2 linked regions of the Astyanax mexicanus genome follow. The protein of the gene in region 1 interacts with the protein of each later gene in a pairwise test. Links are inferred from orthologs where the notes say so. Each region holds a gene or a part of one and is shown in the gene's direction. Other genes may lie near its edges.

Region 1 (3,930 bases):
ATGAGAAAATAATTTGTGGGAATGAGATAATTAAGGCGTGGTCATGACATATTAAGATGTGGGAATGTGTTAATTAAATTGTAGCCATTAAGGCTGTTAAGGTTTTCACAGCTAACAAAGCAAGCAGCTGTCAGGGGTTGTGCGCAATATGCCTGACTAAGTAAGGTAAACATGTCTGCATACTGTTTTAAGCCTGAGCCCGTCAGCTTTTGGTATAAGAATTAAGTGTCTTCTATTTAGAATTATACCATGTCTCACCGCAAGATACTCCAAAAAATCACCATAATTTATTCTAAGATGAAAATAAAAAGAAACCAATTCAACAGTTGCAGCTGTCTGAGATCCAGAAATTGTTTGCAGTTAGTCCAAACATGCTTTAGAATGGATGATATGGGGCATATTTTGCCCCTGCACATAAATAATCTGAAGAGCCCTGACATTTAAAACAAAACATTTAGAAACTTTAAAAGTGCACAAGAAGCTTATTAAAAAACACTGTTTACAACTCGAAGCATAACCTAATCTCTGGGCACCGCCATCTTTTTAAATTAATATTTTAAAGTACTGTATCTTAGAAAGCTGTGGGAGAGGGGAGGTGGTCTATTCAACAAAGGTTAATCCTTTTTATCATGTTTTACTACACAATTTACACCAGAGTTCTACTTTAATTTACAGAAAAGCATGTTTTACTATTATCTGGCTATGACTTAATTATCTCGTTCCAATGCATTAATTATCTCGTTCCCATGCATTAAGATCTAATTCCCACACCTTAATAAGTCGTGGCCACGCATTAATTCCTTTTTTAACATGATGTCACCTTACGGGCTCCGTAAAAAGACGGAATCTTTTTTTTTTTTTTTTTGCTGTAATTTAATTTAATTTAATTCCAGGGCTCCGGGATTAGCTGGTGAGGTCCTCCCGCTGCGGCGGATCTGCAGCCTCTCAGGCTTTTACTGTGAAAATCTCTACAGGAAGTTCACAGCCTGGGAAGTCCGACAGGATGCGCGGATCCCTCTGAGGGATTTCCCGTTATTTAATATCCTCTCCGATTCAACAGAGGCTAATAAATATCAGACCTGACTCCCACAGCGTCTGCCATGTCGGAGACATATGGTACGGAGCGCTGGGTTGTGTGTTATTCCGCTGTCACGGCTGTGTCCGCGGGGCTGTGTTTATATAGCAGGTGTTCAGCTCTCATCCACCGCGCTGCTGCTGCTGTTGTGGTGTAAAGGATCGCAGGCTAAGCGCGGGGATGTATCGGTAGCAGGCAGGCAGGGCCGGGGAGCAGCCGCGGATAAACACCGGGCTGTTTACTAGCTGGAGAGAGGAGGAATTTAATACAGACCGTGAACAGGGGCAGGAGGGCGTGAGGAGAGGGCAGGAACGCCCTGAATACCGCTGCTGTGCTGTAAGAGGAGTGTGTATTAGATAGCCTGGTGTTACTATGCAGTAGAACCGAGCCTGGATCATTAGTTAGCTTAGTTTATCCAAAACTGCTAGCGTTATTTATTAGCTACCTATCTAGCTAGCTAACTGATAACTAACCTAGCTAGCTATGTTAGCTAGCGTTAGATATATAAGTTAGCTAGTTATGGTAACTGCTAGGTCAATTTAACGTTACTGGATGTTGTTCCAAACCTTAAACTACTGTAGCTATAGCTGTAGCTGTAATGTTAGCTGCCTGTTAATAAACAATACACTGATAGTTTAACTTACTAGCTAGTGTCTGATTCAAACTAGGATTAGCTATTTAATGCAGGTCTATTTCTGTGTTTTTCTTGGGTTAGTCTTTAGCTAGATTTGGTTTTAATGTTTGTGGTAGGGCTGGAAGGAATTAACCCTTTCAGACCCTGTGTCAGTTACAGTGGACATCATGTAGTTTTTTTGTCAAATGGTTTTTTTCACAGTGCACTATTTGAAACCTGTTGTGCATTAGAAAATAACATAAACCAGCCAATGAAACAGTAGTTTAGCCCCGCCCACTGCACTGGGAATAAATCAGCAACTCAGACATTAGGGCATGTCAGCACTGCAGAACAATTGAGGCAAAGTAACACAAGCTCATTATTACTAATTATTTGTGATTTAGAACACTTTTTGATTTATTTTTATGAATAAAAAAAAAGTTAATTGGATTTATTTGTATACTTTTTTTATTAGGATAATAGTGTCTTAGTTTGTGTGCATTACAGACAGAAAACTTAAGCTACATGGTTGGTTTAATGTGTTAATATGTTTAAGTAAAATTAACATTGTTGTTTTATTCTATTTATTCTATAAACTACAGCATTTTAAGTTTCCCAAACCTAAAAAAATTGTCATTTAGAGCATTTATTTGCAGAAAATGAGAAATGGCTGAAATAACAAAATGCAGAGCTTTCAAACCTCAAATAATGCAAAGATTATAATTCATAACGTTAATATTCATAAATCTTTTAGAGTTCAGAAATTAAAATTTGGTGGCATAACCTTGGTTTTTAATCACAGTTTTCATGCATCTTGGCATGTTCTCCATCAGTCCTACACTGCTTTTGGATAACGTTATGCAGTTCTGCTTGATTTGATGGCTGTGATCATCCATCTTCCTCTTGATTATATTCCAGAGGTTTTCAGTTTGGTAAAATCATAAAACATATCATCATTAAGTGGTCTCTTATTTTTTTTTCCAGAGCTGTATATATGTAAATAAGTAAGGTATCTTCTGTTGTAAACTTACTAAAACAGTGTTGTTGTTTTTTTTTTCATTATTTGTCTTTGGGCAGTGTTATGCAGGTTTGGGGGCTTCCTTGCTTTTAAACAATTTATTCAAATGATCAGTTTGTTATCAAAATGTTTATTTATAATTGTAGCCAAAGCCACAGATGCTCCCAATCTTACAAAAAATTCTCTCCTAAAACATATTTCATACCATAGAGGATACATTTGACTAATCAAATTATTATTTTAATGCAATTGTCAAAGTGGGATAATTGAGATTGTACTTATTTACATATAGAAGCTGACAGAGGGAATCTCAGAAGATAGACATTTGTTTCTGTCAGAATCCTGTAAATAACTATTTTATACTGCAGTGATTTACATATTTTACATTTGTCTTAACTTAAATATAATGAGGTTATGTTTACATCGTGTTTCATCGTAAAATCTGCATGTAAGGTGAAGAAAAAAAAACACATGCTTATACTAATTATGAAATAAGTGAAATTGTGAAAACTGCTCTGAATAAATGTTACCATTCTTATTTTCTCTTCAGACTTCCTGTTCAAGTTCCTTGTCATTGGGAATGCAGGAACTGGAAAATCCTGCCTCCTTCACCAGTTCATAGAAAAGAAATGTATGTATGTTACCAATAACAATATAATATTATTGAGATGTATTTTTAAACTATGCATCCCTTCAAAAAATAACATACTTTTTCTTGTTCTTGCAGTCAAAGACGACTCAAACCATACAATTGGTGTAGAGTTCGGCTCGAAGATCATTAATGTGGTTAACAAATTTGTCAAACTCCAAATCTGGGACACAGCGGGACAGGAACGATTCAGGTGCGCTCATGACTTCTTTTCAAAACTGAGAAGTTAATTTTAGACATTTGAATGGGGTTGAGCAATATGATAAAAACTATAACTGTTTTGCAGAAATATAATACAATCGAATACATTTGTAATAGGATTATACAGTTGGTAAATGTGTAAAGCACTGATGTGTCTCTACACAATCTAATTATGTAATATTGCCCACCTAGATTTGAGTGAAAAACAAGCTGTGTGCTCAGCATTTAGCACATATGGCCTCTCAGCAGTGTGCAGCATTACACAGAACTACTTGTTCTACCATACACTTGACCTTTGGCATAATATAAACAAAACAGTGATGAATCATTGTTGCTCAGGACTGAAATAAGTTTTTAAAATCTATTATGCTGAC
Region 2 (3,930 bases), on another chromosome or scaffold:
CTATCAAAATAATTACTAATTATTATTTTTATTATTTTACTATCTAAAAATAATGATATGGTATCTCAAAATAACAACTTAACAATATTTACTTAGTTCCTCAACACAACCTACTATCTCAAAGTAATAACTTAATTTCTCAAAATAACAATTTAGTATCTTAAAGTAATAACTTACTATCTCAAAATAACAATTTAGTATCTCAAAATAATGACTTACTATCTCAAAATAATGAGATAGTATTTCAATATAACAACTTAAAATCTCAAAATAAAATAATATTTTAAAATATTAAAATAATGACTTACTACCTCAAAATAACAACTTAGTATCTCAAAAGAATGACCTACTATCTCAAATTAACGACTTAGCCTATCAAAATAATTACTAATTATTATTTTTTATTATTTTAGGTGGGGGTAATGGGCTTTTATACGTCAGTGTAAATTAATCTCCAGCATAAAATATTTTTGATTTATTGGAAAAATTACAAAACTGTGTTACAGCCTCACCTGGTCTCCCCTACGCCCCCTGCTGGGCAGGTGAGCTGTGGCTGATGTTAAATTAGACCTATAAAAGACCTATAAAACAAAAACAAGAGCAATCTTGCACAGTAAAAGATTTTTCAGCTTTCTTACCTCCCACATGCTGCATGTTCAGGGTAAAACTGTGTAAATCGTATAATAAAATGAGTGTGTGAGTGAAGAAGCTGCTGCTGTGTGAGAGTGTGTGGATCCTCTGCACCCCCTCTCGGTGGACCTGCTTCTCTCGGTACTGAACTCCTCCTGGTTCCTGCGGGTGAAGATGGCGCAGGCTCTGTCAGAAGAGGAGTTCCACCGTATGCAGGTGAGTTTATGGCTCTGTGGCTCTGTGTGCTGGTTAACAGCGGCTGTGGGGTTTAAACTGTAATGTAGAGGAGCTGCTGAAGGGATTTACGCTGGATTTTAGGCAGGATTTTGGGGAAAAAGGGGCGTAATCTGGTCAACAGGGCCCTCCTGTATTTTGGTAGCTAGCTATGTTAGCTTTAGCTAGTTAGCTTAGCTTAGCTTTGCTAGCTACAGTCTGCTGACTGCTGCTGCTGTGTGTTTACGTTATAGCGCTGGCTAGCTAACGCTAGTTAGCTTAGCTTAGCCTAGTTTAGTTCAGTCCAGCCCACCGGTTAGCACTCAAGCTTTTTAGGTTGCTAATATTAAAATTAAAATGTTTATAAACTTTTAGAGTGGCGTAATATCATGTTTTACCCCTTATCTTATATACTCCGTGGTTTTAATTGCATGATAAAGGTGTTTAAGTCAGATTTTCGAGCTTATTGTAACGTTAGCAAACGCTAACTAGCTAGCAAGCCTAGAGACCTAGCTAATTATGTTAGCCTAGCTAACCAAACAGCAGCACAACAAACAGCTGTTTCGTTTATTTAACACTCAGAATCCGCTTTTAATTGTTTAGAAAATATTACAAATATCTTAAATACTGCCCCAGTTCCTTCACTTTAACGCTACGTCTCCGCAACACTGCTGTCAAGCCTCTTTTTCTGCATGGAGCTTCAATTTTTGTTGACACAGAGATGCTTGGAACTTCAGGTGAAATGTAAGCTTTCTCAGCCTGCTGACCTGATATATCCAGTTTCGTGTCCATGGTCTTCAAGGCTAATAATTTATTTGTCCCCATTGTTTCCATTACCTAACATAATAAAAAAAGGCTTGTATAATCTTAATAAGCAGTCAGAAGTCTCTAACTGAAGATACTGATGCTGAAATTATGACTCCTGACACTTCTACATGCAGAAGTAGCTGTTTAGTATAGACTAATTTTTTTAAACAAAACAATTCTCCACCTGGATTTAAGTAAGTAAATGATGTGTTGGTTGGTTGATGCTGCAGTTAGTCTGCAGGTTTAGGTTCAGCAACAGTATGTGCTGTAAGAATGAGGTCAGCTGACTCTACCTGAATATACTGAATATAGACCAGGTCATTCCTGGATCAATGGATTTTATCTTCCCTGATGGCACAAAAATATGTCAAAGATGACAATGCCAGGATTTAGGTTCTGGAATTGTGAAAGAGTTCAGGGTTCAGGGAGCATGAGATCATCATTTATCATTTTCACACATGGATTGGATTGTGAGTTCATGACAGAGTCCAGATCTTAACCTCATTGAGAATCTTTGGGATGTGCTGGATGGAGAAGAGCTGCTTTGTACCGTGGTCAGACTCTACCATCATCAATGCTGCTGCTGCAAGGTCTTGGTGAAAAATTAATTAATGCAACACTGGATTGAAATAAATCTTTTGACATTGCAGAAGATCTCATCGAAACAATGCCACAGTAAATGCGTGCTCAGTATGATCATTTTTTTTTTACATGTTTTACATTCGTTTATCAGTGCCTTGGGCTGCAGAATGATCACTAGAGCTGTTTTACACCAAAACAATATGACATGCCATCTGATGGGTTTGTGATTTTCTTTTTGATGCTTTTGTTTTTGTCAAAACAGGCTCAGCTGCTAGAGCTGCGGACCCAGAACTACCAGCTGTCTGATGACCTGCGAAAGAACACTGCAGGTAAACAAGCAATGATTATACAGAGCTTTACACACACAGACACACACACACACAGACACACACAGACACACACACACACGACTGCCTACATTAGAGGTGCTTAAGTCATTGAGTGTATATGTAGGGGTGGAAATCACAGTGCAGCTCACATTACAGTATTATCATGATACATTGCCCAAAATAACCATGATGATGATGATACTGTGATTTTGCTTCTGTATAACAAAAGACAATTTTGTACGATAATTCACGGCATCTGTGTTACTGAAGAGGATAAAATACTTAAATACCAGGAATAATCAAACACCAGGGATTATGGATTTACTGGATGTGATAATCAGTGTACTTCACCACAGGTTTACCCTATTCATTTGATTAGGTGATTTGATTTGATGTTTCAATAAAAATATGGATATTTGATGCCACAATATGATGCAGAGTAATCGATGGGATACATATCGCAACATTGACAAATTGTTTCACCTGCTTAACCATGCTGTCCATTATTAAAAACAATCCTAATGCTAGAAGATATAACTTAAAATAATTATATCAATATAGCTTTTAGATGTATGGCATAGGTTATATGTTTTTTTTTTTTTTTTTTTTTTTTTTGGTTAATTTTTTTCTAATTTTTTTTTAGATATTTTAGATATTAGCTGCCAAATTATTCTGCGCACCCCCATTATTTATTATTTGTGTAAGCCTAACTAGTCTGTGTTTATTTTAGATTTTTTTTTTTTTATCACTCTATTTTGGACATTATCCATCATCAATTTTGAGGATTGTCACTCCACTGTATTATACTGAAATATAACAGTGATATGTTGATGGCTAGGGTTTTGTCTACTAATATGTTTACATGTTCACATCAAGTTGTTTCCAGATATAGAGGGAATTAGATCTGCTGTGCTTAACTTAACACTTTGTGTAAGGCCGGCTGATCTGATACATTAATCTCCTAATCACACTACACACAGTGTTTACTCTCACACAGCACCTGTGATACTGTTCCAACGTATTTACTTTAATAACAGCAGCATAGAGCTGACCGCTACCTGGCATATTAAATATGGAATAAGTGGCCTAAAGACAATGCTCGAAACTCCACCCGTCTCGCTAATATCTAACTAAGCAGTAACTGTAGCAGTAACAGTAAACCTGCGCATGACTCCACATCACCTTATATTTAACCACTCAGTTCACCTGGTCACCTGCTTTTCACGAGCACCAGAGTGCAGTCAAGTGATGTGAACTCTGGACTGAATTACAGTTCAGCAGTTATTCATGATCAATTTTTCAATCAATTAATATGGTCTTAATGCTTCTGACAGGAGTAAAAAAAAATTGGTAGAAGTTTATAAATTTT

The links.
Region 2: the proteins of rab4a (region 1) and gripap1 interact in binary tests that used the Homo sapiens proteins (3 or more experiments, as listed by UniProt). The link is inferred for Astyanax mexicanus from reciprocal best matches to the Homo sapiens genes RAB4A and GRIPAP1.

What each region holds. Positions count from the first base shown.
Region 1 is NC_064414.1:38,733,453-38,737,382, forward strand, and holds the start of rab4a (ras-related protein Rab-4A), read left to right. Parts: upstream 1-967; 5' UTR 968-1,100; coding exon 1,101-1,116; intron 1,117-3,256; coding exon 3,257-3,337; intron 3,338-3,433; coding exon 3,434-3,548; intron 3,549-3,930. UniProt on the Homo sapiens protein: The small GTPases Rab are key regulators of intracellular membrane trafficking, from the formation of transport vesicles to their fusion with membranes.
Region 2 is NC_064419.1:3,022,552-3,026,481, reverse strand, and holds the start of gripap1 (GRIP1-associated protein 1), read left to right. Parts: upstream 1-757; 5' UTR 758-804; coding exon 805-846; intron 847-2,494; coding exon 2,495-2,561; intron 2,562-3,930. UniProt on the Homo sapiens protein: Regulates the endosomal recycling back to the neuronal plasma membrane, possibly by connecting early and late recycling endosomal domains and promoting segregation of recycling endosomes from early endosomal membranes.